Linked DNA regions of Drosophila melanogaster. The protein of the gene in region 2 binds, or shares a complex with, the protein of the main gene of each other region. Each region holds a gene or a part of one and is shown on either strand. Other genes may lie near its edges.

Region 1 (5,204 bases), on a different chromosome or scaffold from region 2:
GTTTTGTGATGTAACGCGAAAATGCCCTAGGAAAAGCGATCTGAGGAACACTGAACTGGGGAAATGTGGACCAGAAAGCTATTCATTGGATTCGCAAGAATGCCGGCTTCTAATCCGAGATGTAAGTGGTGGTATCAAAACACACAGGCCTTCCGAATATTCGTTTAGACCCATTTCGTATGGGAAGTATCCACGAATTACGCAAATGATGCGATTCCAACTTTATAGCAAAACGTACAATCCGACAATAACCGAGTAGATTTATTGATTCATGATTCGGGACTACTAAGATTCGTTGTGTCTTCTGGTGCGCGACGAACACTACGTGGACTATTCCGCACAGTGATATAAGTTTGGTTCATGGTGGCACCAAGATAAAGTTTAATCAAAAATATTTTTCTAGAAAATTATCGTTCCACGGAATCTTTAAAACGATTGAATAATGCGTAAACCCATTGATAGTTCACTTCATTAATAACATTAACATTAATACCGTGAACTCTAAACATAACTAAAGAAAACCACTCATATTGAAAGGCAAGCGGCTGAGGTTTAACTTAGGAATTTATTCGGAACTCTTACAATTAAGAACAAGATCAGTGCCACGGCACCTGGTTGCCGATGGTGCCCTTTTTGTAGAACTTGGCCGTGGCCGAGGCGGTAGTGGCCAGTGTCGGAGTGGGCGGAGCAGGCTCGTAGGTGGGTCCGCTGCCCTCTGCCTTCAAGACGGCGGCACAGCGCCACTGCCGGTTGTAGTTCATTCGCCACAGACGCACACAACCGTCGTCGCCCGTGGAGATCAGCATCGTGGCCAGCATATTCCAACAGACGCGCCACACTGGGCAATTGTGCTCGCTAAACTTAATGGTCTGGATGTCCAACTTGGAGATGTCCGTGGCGTCCCTTTAATTATAAAAATTATTATTATTAAATGATTTTGGGTCTTTAAATTGTCGATCTTACGTTACACCCCGCAAGTTCACAATATAAAGATCCTTGCTGGCCACTGCCAGCATGTGAAAGGTGCGTCCGGCATTTGGAGCAAAGGCCACATCCGTGACCGGATCGGTTATATCATTGACAGTATCGATTTTAACGCACTTTCGGGAATTCTCGCTGTAGGCGAATAAGAAGACCTTGCCAGTAGGCGTGGCTGCCTCGTCGCTGCCCGCCTGCAAAATAATTTATGAAAATTAGGCTTATTCTTACTCCACAGATAATAGAATTAATCCTTAATAGACTAAGACTTGGAATTTAAATATACTCACCGCCAGCAGCTGGGTGACCATGTAAGTGGAAGTGTTCCAGGACAAACAGCTCAGCGGCAATTTGTTGCTAATCTCGTGCTGCACGGGCCACTGCGAGAGGTTCATAATGTCCGGGGCCTCATAGATGCGAATAATGCCGTCGGCGGAGGCGGTGGCCAGCAGGAGTCCCAGGTACTTGGGTGCAAACTCCACATCCGTGACACTGGTCCGCGAGTCTACAAGGGTGGTGCGGCGCACCCAGCGGCGAGTGGGGGTATTGGTGGAGGATACCTTTTCGCCAATCACCTCCTCCCAAACGGAGGCGGTGCGATCAAATGAGCATGTGGCCACAACCTGGCCAAATTCCGGGTGCGCCCAGGAAACGCGCCAAATGGAGCCGGAGTGCGCTTTCCAGCTGCTCGTGACATTCCACTTGCCCTGCCCATCCTCGTCCCAAATCTGCAAGCAGAAAATCCGGATCACCTAGGCTGTTTATCGTAGGAATAATTCGAGTCCTCACCTTGACGGTCTGATCGCTGGAACAGGTTGCCATCCTGCGGCCGTAGTAGTCGAAGACCACGTCGTGTATCACATCCTTGTGGTCGGCAATAATGGGTTCCACGTCGAACATGATAAAAACTCAACTTATTTACCGAAATGTTGTTTATAAAATGCACGCGCCGAAAAATCTGCGCCGGTAATGCAGCCCTACAAGGAGAGACAGGGTTGGCTTGCAAACAGCCGCCGAACAGCTGTTGTTTACCTTGCTCAGTATTTTTTCAGTACGCCCAGGCGAACGGTCACACCGAGTTAGTGGTCCGAATTACGCGTGAAATACGAATAAAAAATCGAGCGAAAAATAACAAAACACAGTACTCTAGTCGATCACAAGCTGATAACGTATCAGCCGTGCCACACGCCCATCCGGGATTCGCGAGAACCACACTAGTCGGAGAGTCAGGACTCCAATAGCCGCCAAGAGGCCGTTTTGCACCCGGAAAAGAACAGTTACACACAACAAAATTGCCAACCGAAAGAAACGTGCGAAGCGCAGTGCGATGGAGAAGAGTAAGTGCGGTAATCTAAGCACTAAACGGGTAATTACGGCCCGATCCTATACGATACGATCCGAGCGAAATGTATGCGCATATGTGTATGCAAATGAGTGGGGTGAACAACCCCACAGCATAGTCGTATGTAGATCGGGACCCGCGTTTGTTTAGCATTTGAATTCGCTGGCTAAAGTGCGGATTTCAATCAAAGTGCAATGGGCAGCATAAATTCCAATTGCTTCCATCTGCAATATGCTCAATATGTCTTGCCTTGCTCGCCCTCTCTCGCTCGCGCACTCGCTGCTGACCTTGATTCCTATTGGATTTTACACATCGCGCGATGCCCGTGACGTATGTGTGTGTGTGTGTATGGGCGAGAGAGCAGCATAGCTGCCAACGTGTGTGTATGTCGGCCGGCATCAATTACCTAATAAGAACTAAATTGGAGACTGCATTTCTTGTTGGTATTGTATTGCATAAATACGATATAAGTATATTTATGAAATATGAGCATATCACAAGGACTCGAATCGGAAATTCAATCCAACGCAGTCACTACAAATTCGTAGTATTTTGCTAAGAAATTAAAAAACAATTTAACTGTAAACCGTGCACTTTACAGTGTCTACAAGATTTCAAGTGTGTTATCACGCACAAATCGGTTGTTTGTTGCTCTGTAGAAATCCTAGAGATAAGCACATCGAAATCAGGCGTTTCACACGCGACCGACTTTCGGTTCTATTATTATTTGGCTGTGATATCAGTAGACGGTTTTTTTCTGGCCACGCGCCAAACATGAATAATTCGAACAGAATCGAACACCGAAATACAAAAATTTCCGTGCGATAAGATGCCGGGAAAGATTTGGAATTGAGCCCGAGCCGAAACCATGAAGACCCGTCACCGTTAAGTATTAATCATAATCGGTCGCCAAGGCCAATGCCGAAATCGGAAGATTTTTCAGGCACTCGCCGCCTATCTGAGATTAAAGCGGGCGTCGCGTCGGGAATTTCTTTTATGACTTTTAAAAAACCTCTGCTGATGCCGGGAGCAGCGAGCATCACGGAATGAAAACAAATCAGCGGCGTTCGCGTGTTCTGCTCGTGGCAGCGCACTGAATTCGTTAATAATAATTCGATTCAAGTGCATCGCGCTAATCAATTTCTGGCGTTTTCGCCCATTTAACCCTAATCAGCATCGCTTGCCACTTACGCCAGCAAATTGAGAAATTATGGTCGTTGTTGTTGCTGCTTGCTGCTCCCAGCAGCAGAGTGCATTTCCGTCAGCGGTTGGGTCAACTCCCAGATTAAGTCCAGCTGGAGCAGCAACAACAACAACAGCAGTACCGAATGCCATCGGCGACCTTGACATTGAAAAGCTACCGCCGCCCATGAGACAGAGATACATGGAAGAGAAAAGAGCGGGACGCACTGCTAGTGACAGAGAGGGGTAGACGGTTGTTGGCAACAGCTGATCGCCATCATCATGTCGCTCTTATCTTTTATCAGCCGCAGACCGTTAAGGTATAATTGCTGTGCAACAGTGGAACTTTCCTATAGTGGAACTCACTGATGTTAAGCTGATTGCGATTGCCGCTGGAAGGGCATGCTTTTATGGTTAGTTTTTATGAGTTTTTAGTTTGGAAACTACGCAAAAAATCCAATATAAAACAAAATGTCATTGTAGTTATTCCAGAACTTGTTGAATCGGTATATACAGAAACCTTATTCATCACTGACGACAATAAAGAAATGATTTTGTTAAATATTTCTCTGGTGCCACTGTACCCAGCATTTATTTATTCGGACATTGTTATGGCATAATTGGTTCACAAAAAGATCACTGAAACCGACGGAGCACACTGGTCGTCATTACTTGAGCCACCTTCATAAAAATTGTTATTAATCCGGCAGGTTGCCCCGCTTAATTCGACCGCCTTTCTGTTCGAATTAGTGGCGCTCCTTGTACATATGTAGTTCTTATGTAGTACATAGTGCACATATATTCCTCCTGGTCACTTGGCGCTGGCTGAGCCAGCAATAAGCAAAACAATAACACAACAACAACAACAACAATTGGCTTGGCGACCCGCGAGACCCGCTGGCGATTAACATACGAGCGCAACAACCTGAACACGCACAAACACAGGTCCGCGCACGAAAACCTGGCCGTAGACGTAGTCAAAGCTATAGCTATAGTTGATATTGATAGTGGCGACGCCGAAGTCGGCGTCCGCTGCGCGTTCGGAGAAGCGGCGTTCAGGCATCGATAGTGCTTTTCGGACGAGCATGGCCCAGTTGAGTTCCAATCGTCGGTCACTGCAGTAGCCATCTAGAAATCGTGCGGAACCAGTCAGTCTAGGAAGTTCAAACCGATCCTACACGGTCTACTACAATCCGATCCGATCCGGTCCGACCTCGTCTTCGAAACTGCCATCACAAGCTAAACAAGGGCACACGCAGAGTGGTAAAGCGAGCTGAAACCGTAGATCTAAATCCTAAGACGAACTAAACCCAAAACACAACCGTATCATATCCAGCCAAGGTCCCGAAAAGTGCTGCCCTAGAGATAATCGCACGTCGAGTAAGATTCTTTTGTTTTCGACTGTTGAGTAATGCCAGCAGAGTTCTTATCACAGGATCGGTGGTAAATAAAGCACAATTAAAAGACTCCATCCATTGCGAGGGTGCGCACTAACGGAGCTACTTGAGTACGGGACCGGGCCACACCTGTTGAGTCGTTTCCAGCGCAGAGTGTAACCCAAGTCCCAGTTCTCTGCGCGATTTCCGAGTAAGCGGTTACATAACACCCCGCTGGTTGCCAGAGATCGATTCCGGTGTCCAATCCGACTTTCCGTGTCTTTCAATGCCCGCCGCCTGGCTGGCACACTTACACACGTGCACAC
Region 2 (4,825 bases):
TGGACGTGCGAGGAATCCTTGTCCGTGGCCGTCATCTGCGGCAGCATGTAGAAGTGATTGCTGCTGTTGCACATCAGGCCGCGATGCAGATCGTCCAGATAGCTGGGATCAACAGATCCCAGGCTGTTCACTATAGTGATGGCATGCAAGCGATGCACGCGGCCGATCCTGTCCAGAAACAGAGCCAGCTCGAAAGCGCGGTCAAAGTTTTCGGTGGCCACGATTTGGTAGCGCGACAAAAACAGCGCGAACAAAAACTGAAGATACATTTTCGCTCGTGAACCATGCCAAACTGACTGGGATTTCCATGTACGCCGAGTACTTCAAGTGCATCTCGAATTATTTGCCCCACGATACGATCTCTAAAACAAAACCTGAAAACTGTTTGCCTAACACTTACCCGTGGTAATTGCTGGTGTCCACTCTTGCTCCCCAGTGGCTCCCCAGAGGTAAGACTTCGCCTGGGTGGCCGTCAGGTTGGGCACATTGGCGGGCTGGGGGTTCATCGGCGAGTTTTGACGCCGCTTAAAGACTGCGTATACAAAGCAATGCTAGTCGAGGAGGTTTAACTTTAGTTACTGCTACTCACAATCAATGGGCTCATCACCCATCACAAAGCTCTGCGAGGAGTCTGACTTGTTGAGCAGCGAATGGCTGGACACTCGGTCGTACTGCTCTCCATTTTCGCACCCGTAATCCTCCTGGTCGTTGTTGTTGTTGCTCTGCGTCTGCTGCAATGGTCTCTGCTGACCAGCCTGCGTGGGTTTGGCGGGCACCGCTTGATAATGATGCTGCTGTATGAGTACACCGGTTGGGCCCTTCGGGAATATGTGCGTCCAGCGGCGGCGATTGGAGGTCAGCTTTATTGTCACTTGCGAGGGATCAAAGGGATTGATCAGAGCGCGACCCGGACGCACTATGGGCGCAATGCTAACGATCGTCCTGCGGGAGTTCTTCTCCGAGGCCAGTGACTCGGAGAGGTTGGTTGTATCCGGTTGCTAAAGTCACATAAAAACAGTTCAAAAGTCAGGTAAAAAGTCAGTATTAAGATTTCCCTTACCAAGGCAGCCAGCATTGCAGAGGTGCCGTGATGAATATCGGGATCGGACATCTTGCGCCGCATAGCCGGGATTTGAGTCGGCGTGAGGTTCTCCCAATCGTTGTTCCTATAGGCATAGGTCTCTAAACTGGGCACCGATGTCTTCTTAGCCCGCACTACACGCTGCAGGGAGCTAAGAAAATAAAACCTTGATCAACAAAGCTAAAAAGGTAATTTTGTAGCACAATACTACCAAGTACTCTGAGCGGGGAGCGGCTGGAAGATCTGTTCATCATACGCATCGTAATCAAAGAGCGAGTTGTGCTTATACTCCGACTGATTGCAGCTCAGGAAGTGACGCTCGTTCTCCTCGCCCTCCCCGTCGCCAACGCCATCGTGGAGCGTCAACTGGGATCCAAACAGAGGCAGCTTGATCCGTGGTATGAAACTGGAGTACACAATCTTCTTGTTAGTGGAGTAAAAGCTCAAGTTTATCCAGTGGGGCAGAGAGTAGTCATCGGCGGAGGTCAACGTGGTGTCTTTGTTGTGGAATTTGAGAAGCGGAACCGCATGCAGTGGCTGCTCGCCCACACAGACCAGGTCGCTACCCACGCCATTGTCGATAATGCGCTGCTTCGTGATATTGGTTAGCTCTCGATCCACGGAAAAGACACCCACTCCTGGGGTTATAACCACGGATAGTTGTCCGGTGCGGTCGAACGTTCTATCCAAGTAATGCTTTTCGAAAGTGTTCAGCGATATGTTTAGCACCTCCAAAAAGTTACCCTGAGTGGCTGAAGAATTGGTGGCCGGTGGAATCTTCATGTTCTCCCGTTCGTGGTAGCGCAGCACAGTGGCCTGTAAACGGCGTAGTAAGTTTTTATAATAGAATAAATTAAAACATGGTTAAGTGACCTGGTAGGACGTGAATAGCTTTCGGAGCTGGCCCAAAACGGTACACCAATCATCACAGCGCTCATTCTGGATGGCCACGCGGTAAAAGTCCTCGTAGAAGCGACCCTTGTAGTCCTGCTGCAGGCAGTCGCGCATATGCTCGGGAAACTCGTCCAGGCTCTTGGCTGCGTAGAAGGTGCGGGAGAACAGCACGATGGTCACCTCGTGGTTACAGCTCAATTTTCGCCACTTTTGAAAGAGCTCAGTGAGAAACCCATTGACTGCCTTTTCGAAGTACAGGTCTCCGTGGATGTCAAAGTCCCACATCTCGGAGGACATCTGCAGGAAGAGGTACACCATCGAAGTGCTGCTGCGGAAGACAATCTTGGTGTCCTCCGTGATGACACCGCTGGCCACGCGCTCGCCTTGCGACCACATCTCGTACACCTGGCACCGAATCTGCATGTCGTTGTAGTCGATCTTCTTGTTCACATACACACAGGTGTCCGTCTGAGGGAGAAGTGGTACGTTAAAAGTATATCCTGGTCTGAAAACTGCGTGATTCCTTACCAGGTAGGTCTTCAGGCGCCACATTTCCGAGCGACCCATGTACTGGTCCTTGAAGGTAATCTCTATCGAGTCCAGGGCCACATCCGCCGGCTTAACTATGCGCATCACCACATTGGAGTACGGACGCATTTTGAAGGCATTGGCGATGCCCGATTCTATGCTTATCACATCCCGGCCACAGCTGCCATTGAACTCGGTGATTTGGAGCAGCAGGTGGGTGCCGTTCTCCTCGTCGGGGGCGTAAATTTCTACCACATCGCCCACATTGGCGTTGGGATGATCCTTTAGATTCATCACCAAGTCCGCATCTGTGCCGAAATTTCCGTGTAACGTAATGTTTGCGCAATATCCACTTTCGCTTACCGTAGGATTTGTTGCAGCCACGCGTATGCGTGTTCAGCTTGTACAGCTTCATGTTGACTTAGTGGTTGCAAAACCAACGGACAATTATTTACTCAATTCCAACATTTGCCCATTTGCATGCTAGTAAAATAAAAATTCTATTTTTTCGTCTTTTGTTTTGATTCCTTATCTGCAGAGTGACCGCAGGCATGGATTATTTGGTATTTTCCTGTACAAATATACCGAATTTAATGTTTACCTTTAATTGTTATTGTAATTAATTAAATCACGCAGTTTATTTATATTTTTCAAGGTAGCTCAACACTTTTATCTTTTATTGAAAAACTAACTTAATCTGCATTCCCTGTCAGCTTAATTATTTTCATATATATTAAATTAAATAATGATTTCAGTTACGTAAGCTTTTCTGTTATGTATGTTATTGTGTGATTTGTATTATTCGTCACAAAATTTGAATTACCGAACGTTAGGGGCAACCGATGCTTTCGTCACTAGACTCCTACCAATTCAGCGGGGATTTGGTGCGTTGCTATTGACTGAAATTTTTTTGGCATCTATGAAGCCTTTTAATTTACCCACAAGTGTAGCCAAAAGTTAACATATTTTACAAACTGGCGAAAAACTTTACTAATTAAAATAAATGTTTTTTTATATTATCGATTTAACACATATACAGTTGCGTAAAAAATAGCACCACCATAGCGCGTTTTATTCTAGATACAAATAATTAAGGTTGCACCGAAATAACGCAATATTTTCGAATAAAATTTTTAAAAATAGTTCTGGGTATTTTTCCTATTCGAATATAATAATAATCTGTAGAATGCATATATTTTTTGCAGCTTTATGCTTATATATGTAGTCAGTCTGCGTCACAGAAGCGCAATCGATTTCTTTCAGATAAGACCTTTTTAATTAAAAATGTAATTTCACCTATACTTCTGGAGGAAAATGATTGTTACATCGCATTAAAAATAAACACCCCCACGCTAATCAGTTTGTCCGCTCCTGAATCTATCAATTTCCATCTTTCTGACCATGAGTTAATCTAAGCAATTAGAACGTTCTATTTAAGTTTTCCGTACAGCTTTATTGTTTACACATATTTATTTGCTTAATGAATTTATCACGAAGTGACTACAAGCTGCATTCGTTGTTTTTCATTGAATAAATTTTATTGGGTCGCAAATATCAGTGAGTACATTTCGACAAAAATTGTTTAAAGACAGTTCGTTCGCCCGCGTAAATGGGTAATCCTCCGTCCTCAGTCAGATAGCTGCACTCGACTCGCTCCATTCCGGGTCCACCATCCATCCAGCTTCCATCATCCGGACCCCGGACTCGTATTTATGATCCTCGGCGTCGGGGATTGTTTCGCAATCGGTTGTTTGTTTATTGTTTGTGGTGATTAGAACGCCACTGACGACAGAGATCGCCAGATCGGGCAGATAATTCGCATTCTCTACTTATAGCGAGGGTTATGTATACAATCGAGGCGCGGGTCGCTCACCAGGATGCGTCGAAGTCGATTCGTCGGTTCGAAAATGAGTTTGCTCGTATATATGTAACTAACAATGCAAAGGGTCAAAGGGTCGTCGTCCTCGTCAATCACAATCTCAATCTCAACATGCAGCTTAAACGGTAGACAGAACCACGAAACTGGCTCCTAAAGCTAACTAAACACGTACGGACTACAAGTAAACGTTAATCACTAGGGAGGATGGGCTGGAGCACCACTCTCACATCGCCACGGTGGCCAGGACAACGGTGATGTCGTCCGGCTTGCCGCCACGCGCCTGAATGTTATTCCTCCTGGCGCTGAGGGCGAAGGGCGAGAGGAACTCGCTGTTGAGGGACAGGGTGCGCGCCATCAGCGCCAGGCTGTTGGCCGTCATCTGGAGCTTGACGGGATCGCGTTCGCCCTCCACCTCGCTAAGCACCTGCAGCATTAGATCCTCG
Region 3 (5,483 bases), on a different chromosome or scaffold from region 2:
CTTGGGAGTTCTTAATGGGAAACCCGTTTTCGGGCACTCAGATTGGACAAAAGCCTCAGGTGTAGACACGAATGAGTTGAAAAGGTCAAGTAACTAAATATCGCTATTTTCAAAGCTATCATGTACAAATATTTAATCTTAACTGCCAGTTAAAGTGCTGTGCTCAAATTCCGTAGCACTCACATGCTTTATGGAAATTTGTACCCCCACCCACAACTTACCGTCTTTATATTATATCTTGTGTATCGGCACTGTCTTTTGGTTTAATCTATTCACTATATCTTGATTTGTTTGTTCAGGCGTTATCACATAATGTTATTAACCATTCACTTAAGCCCTACGAGTGGAAGCACTTTTTCTGCACATTTACGTCAGAAAGCAACAAAAAATAATAACGCCGCATAAAAACGTGCGAAGCGGTGTGACCGTTATCAGTTCCAACAAGAATGCTAATAAGTACTACCTGAAAGTGTTGCAAAACACGAAACTATAACGGTTTCAACTTTCAAAAGAAAAGCTGAGAAATATCTATAGTAATTTGTCGCACATAGTCCTTTATTTGAATGTAAGTATAAAATGCAATTGAGCAGCTAAAAGCTGGTAGGTCATAAACACTAATGCTACGGGCACATCCCTTGTCTAAGTACAATGAACACTTCTGAGTTTGTTTAAGGCGCACGCGTTTGGAACAAATCAACAACTTAATGCATATGCATATGGCCTGGGCGAGTAAGGGCTGTGTATGGTGGGTGCTCCGGACAGCTAGGAAATGTCTCTCAATGTGTTCGGCTTGGTGCCGTCCATGTCGAAGCAGCGGCAGTTGCACGACGACACGGGGCACTCTGAATTTTGCCTGGCAAATAAACGCGTACATTGGTCAGAATTCAATTAAATATTGGTAACTTTGAACTCACTTGAACCACTGCATGATGTGCTCGGTGTGTCCGCCGTGGCGACAGGTCTGACACCAGGAAAACCACTTTGAGAAGGGCTTGGTCTGCCAGCCGGGCACGTCGGGCGTGGTGGTCGGGGTCTCCCCATTGCTCATGTTCACCATTGTGCCCATGTGCATTAGGCAGAGCGAGCAGCGGGGCAGGGGTTTCCGGCAGCTGGGGCATGAGGAGAGCCTGTTGGTGCTGGTGGTGGTGCTCCGTGGACGCGGCTCGTCCAGCAAGGCGTTGGACACAGACTTGCCGCAAAAGTTGCACGACAGAAATACGGTGCGGGAACTGCGGGAGGATGGGCGGATGCTCTCGATCTTGATGTCCAGCTCGGCCCGCTTCTCCCACAAGCCCCAGCTATTGAGGTGATCCAAGTAGCTGGCGATCCAGTACTGGATGCGCTTGTCCTCGAAAAGCTCTTGCCGGAAGTAGTTAATGGCCACCAGGGCTACCGTCTAAGAAACAGCTCAATGTATATCAAAGTTTCTACATATGTTTTTATAGCGCACGCTCACCTGCACATCGAAGCTGGTGTCCATATAGGACTGCAGTATATCGATTCCGTCCTGCGACTCTCCAGTGAGCAACAAGCCATTTAGATCGCCACCATCTATGGCCGCCTGGATTTGCTGCGCAACATAGTCAGCCAGCTTGGTCTCCGATAGATATTTGCAGGCGAAGGCCATGCGGTCTGATAACGAAACGCCTTCCTCTTTGAGCACTGCATCAAAATTGTCCTTCTCCATCGTTAGAAAGGAGAAGACAGCCCTTAAGTGTGGATCGTGTATCTGCATGTTGGCGCTGGATCGCTGATTCCGCCACGTGGAACTGCAGCGATCTGCATTGAAACTGGACAAGGCGATGACGGTGATCCTGTACATGCTGGGATCCCTCATGTTGTCCGCCGCCGACGATAGGATGTTGCAGGCATGGAAAATTTTCAAGTGGAACACGCAGATCATGGCTGCCCGGCTGTACTCCTTGTTTGCATACAACTGGTCTATAAAGCGATCCAGCTCCTGCTCAAAGGCCCAACCGCAAAGTTGGAGGGCCAGGTCGCGCTGCTCACTCCTGCATAAAGATTGGGGTTATCACACTCGTCAAACCACAAATTCATATAAACTTACCTGTAGCATATCAGTTTGTTGGAGTTGTTGATGCCCTCTGGCCACTGGAGCACCTGAGATTCAATGCGGGAGCTGGCCATCAAGGCCTCCGAGGTGTGTCCCAAGTTAATGCCCAAAGTGGCCTTTAAGCCCGTCAGTCGATCCTCGCTGTAGACATTGTTCAAAGTGGACCACACATTTCGCAGATACGGTGTCAAGTGGAGTTCGCCGAATCGCTTGTTATCGGGTTTGATGCCGTAATCCTCTAGAGCGCGCTGACGCGTCTCGTCCACCAGATCCAGCTCAAAGAGTTCCGGTTTCAGCAGGTCCACATTGAAGGGCGAACCACCAGGAGTGCTAAAGTCCAGGGAACTCCCGCTATTCGTGCTGCAGCTGCTCGTGGGCTGCTGCTGAGTGGGCGTGGCCGCAGTGGAAGTCGGCGAGGCGGGTGTGTAGAGCGGACGCTGCATCAGAAGTGGCAATTTCCGGCGATTGCTGTGCGCCGTGTGCAAGGTGGCTGGCAGTCGAAAGTCCAGGATGTTCAGCGCATCTGCCAAAAGCAGAGCTCTCTCGAAATCCCTCGAATGCCACGACAGGCAATTAACAAACGAAAACTTTCCACTGTGCTGGTATCTAGCCGGAAAGGGGCTAATCTGTCGTTTTACGTGGTAGATCTCTCCGGAATTGTCCGTGTCCACACTCCGGATGTCGTAGAGAGTGATGTAGGAGGAATCGCGTTGCAGCGAGGAAAGCAGGCTTGTCCTGGTCGGACACCAAGCGATCTGCAAATGGTTTTTCGAGGACTGAATCTGCCTGAGGGGACTCTTGATATTTCGCGGATCCCACAGAGTGATCACCGAGTCCACATAGCTGCAGAGATAGTTGCCATTGGGGGATACGGAAAGTCCCTGCACTGTCTTTGTTTGAATGCTTTGACAGGTGGCGTTACTCTCTGCGAAAGGGATTTAAAGATTTCATCAGTGAAAGGGCAATAAAGTAATACTACGTAGTTGAAATATAACCAGTCGCATTATGTGTACTCACGCCTCAGATCGAACAGCTTTATCATCTTCTGGCTCATTCCCGCAATGACCGTGCGATGATTTCGATCCCAGCAAATGGAGTTGGCCGACTCGCCGACGCCGAAGAAGTTGGCCGTCTCCTTGGGAACTCCACGCTCAATGTCCCAGATGGTGATGCAGGTGTCATTTCGATGGCGATCGTGTCCAATGGCCAGGATATTGGCATCCAGCTCGTTCCAGGCGAGGCAGGTGCACATGCGCTGCTGACGCGGTGCTACGAGAAATGAAGAACTATTAGATGCAGCTAAGAATCGGCGTTGTCGTCCACCCACTGTACTCCCAGCTGCTGTCGTAGGTGTCCCGGAAGTTGCAAATCCCGACTTTGCCATCCGCCAGACCCACTGCAATTATGGGCTGGTCACTGTGGTAGGAGGCGGCCACGCAGCGGGCATATTGATAGCGCGACTCGTTGGCGAGGTAGTTCACGGATATATAAGGCAGGCGACCTGCAAGGGGGGCGGTTAAGTAAAGTGGCATAATCCCTTGGGGAAAACCCTACTTTTTTGGCTGTGATCATCTTTGCGGCGCACTTCGTATAAATGGATTTCCTGGCCCCAGGATACGAATTTGTCGGGAAAATGTGGAAACCAGCTGAGTCCGTGTGTATTGCCGCTCATCGTGGCCGATTTTCCATCGATGTAAAAAAAAACAATTTTCACTACAGACTAAATTGCGTCGCGTTATCAGTTTGCAAAAACAAAAACGTGAGATAAACACTGCACTACATGGCAAGAAGAAGAGGCGCACACACACTAGCCGGTCGACCAGCTGTTGGCCGCATGTTAGCCAGCACTGGCCCAGTTCGATAATTCGTTTTATCGATAAGCTGGTAGGTGATTTTGTTTTCCTTTTTTTTTTGTAAGAAAGCAAACGTGTTTAATATTTACAACTCCCACTTAAAATGCTGCGCAAAACACCAAAACCTGCAATTTGGAAATTCATCAAAGGAAGTGCCAAAACACTGTTTGTCCTCGAGGCAGTCTGCTTCGCAGCCAGCTACGGCGTTTATTATCGCATGAACACGAATCGAGGTGGGAGGATATTTATATAATTATTTTGATCGTTAATAACAATCCGCTCCTAGAGTTTCGTCAGCATATTCACGAGAACTATCCCTTCGTTTTGGACTATTACTACAAAATTGGTGAAATCGTCGGAGACAGCACAGTGCGACAGGCGGATGCGAGTTATTGGAGTGCTTTGAAGAAAAGCGACTAGAGGAGACCGCTTCCAAAATGCTTAGTAATCCCTACTTTAAGTCCGTTTTGTGGCTGATTGGCTTCGGAGGAATGGGGTACGGCCTAATGGTGTTAACCGAGCCGAACGTCGACAAGTTAGAGCGCATCAAAGCCTCCGTTTCAAGTACCAAACTGAGTGCGGATGAGCAGCGAAAGGCTCTGTTTATGAAGAAGCTCCAGGAGGCGTCCACCACCAGTGCCCCAATCTACAGGTCATCGTCCGAGAAATAGGATAGTTAGGAAGCTTAATCGTCATCAATTTATCAATTTGTTATACTTTTTAAATACAAATGTTAAGCATTTAATCTTAATTGGTTGGGTAGGGTGATTCATTAGAAGAAAATTCGATTCGTACAAGAATGCGAAATAGGAAAAAGGAAATAAAATTACTAAATTGTTAATATTCACGTTTTAAATGTTTACAGAGCCCTTACTACTTCTGTTACTTTTAACATAATCTGTTAGGAATCTTGACCACCCCTACTCGCAGTGCTCGTAAACGTCCGATTCTTAACAGCGAATCTAATCTAAGCGCAATTGCATTTTAATGGTAATTTAATTGCCATTATTGACAGAGTTTATGGCAACGAAGACGCACACAATGTCCGCGGGGGATGTCCCCTTGGTGGCGATGGCCAAGGTTCCGCCGACCATTCAGTTTGAGGCCACAAAGAACTTTCACTCGCACACCGAGCAGAAGGAATTGGACAGTGCTTTCCTGGGCTACAATCGACGTCCTTGGGTTCGCCAAAAGGCTCACAGGGACACACGCCGGGAGAGGGAGATCCTCAACGGTCTACTGTGCTCTACCAGCGTGGAAACGGACTACGCCAGCACCTGTGTGGACAAACTTATTGCCGAGAACATTAACTATCTGGATTTGGCCTCTCTCACCGACGAAGATTTGGAACTCTTCGGGTTCAAGTGTCGAAAGCAACGGCAACAGCTCCTGGAGATGTTCGAAAAGATTCCCAACCAGAATCCCAGTTACGAATACATTTGCAACCATCCTGAAGCCGAAAACTACAACAATCAGATTCTGGGCAATGCTGGCAACCACTTTATGTCCCTGCGCGCTTCTTTAGCGGCCACCAACTACAAGCTGCAGGTCTCCAC

Evidence for each region. The genes of interacting proteins can lie anywhere in the genome.
Region 1: Iml1 (region 2) and Nup44A share a complex: the UniProt entries of both Drosophila melanogaster proteins name them as parts of the GATOR complex.
Region 3: Iml1 (region 2) and mio share a complex: the UniProt entries of both Drosophila melanogaster proteins name them as parts of the GATOR complex.

What each region holds. Positions count from the first base shown.
Region 1 is NT_033778.4:7,986,627-7,991,830, reverse strand, and holds Nup44A (nucleoporin at 44A), read right to left. Parts: upstream 3,370-5,204; 5' UTR 3,322-3,369; intron 3,300-3,321; exon of another isoform or gene 3,204-3,299; intron 2,316-3,203; exon of another isoform or gene 2,117-2,315; intron 2,000-2,116; 5' UTR 1,879-1,999; coding exon 1,768-1,878; intron 1,707-1,767; coding exon 1,269-1,706; intron 1,173-1,268; coding exon 964-1,172; intron 904-963; coding exon 597-903; 3' UTR 548-596; downstream 1-547. UniProt on the Drosophila melanogaster protein: Probable component of the nuclear pore complex (NPC). Involved in maintaining the localization of another nucleoporin Mgtor to the nuclear envelope of early meiotic female germline cells.
Region 2 is NT_037436.4:1,530,991-1,535,815, forward strand, and holds the start of Iml1 (increased minichromosome loss 1), read right to left. Parts: upstream 3,045-4,825; 5' UTR 2,919-3,044; coding exon 2,867-2,918; intron 2,812-2,866; coding exon 2,504-2,811; intron 2,444-2,503; coding exon 1,955-2,443; intron 1,898-1,954; coding exon 1,293-1,897; intron 1,233-1,292; coding exon 1,061-1,232; intron 999-1,060; coding exon 590-998; intron 533-589; coding exon 401-532; intron 270-400; coding exon of another isoform or gene 1-269. Other genes in the region: Ir62a (ionotropic receptor 62a), read right to left, coding at 1-269; CG12091 (uncharacterized protein), read right to left, coding at 4,606-4,825. UniProt on the Drosophila melanogaster protein: An essential component of the GATOR subcomplex GATOR1 which functions as an inhibitor of the amino acid-sensing branch of the TORC1 signaling pathway.
Region 3 is NT_033779.5:2,215,690-2,221,172, reverse strand, and holds mio (missing oocyte), read right to left. Parts: upstream 3,884-5,483; 5' UTR 3,747-3,883; coding exon 3,629-3,746; intron 3,576-3,628; coding exon 3,402-3,575; intron 3,344-3,401; coding exon 3,092-3,343; intron 3,000-3,091; coding exon 2,069-2,999; intron 2,013-2,068; coding exon 1,457-2,012; intron 1,397-1,456; coding exon 915-1,396; intron 854-914; coding exon 763-853; 3' UTR 548-762; downstream 1-547. Other genes in the region: CG42371 (uncharacterized protein), read left to right, coding at 4,031-4,160, 4,214-4,347; CG15386 (uncharacterized protein), read left to right, coding at 4,365-4,598; daed (daedalus), read left to right, coding at 4,948-5,483. UniProt on the Drosophila melanogaster protein: An essential component of the GATOR subcomplex GATOR2 which functions as an activator of the amino acid-sensing branch of the mTORC1 signaling pathway.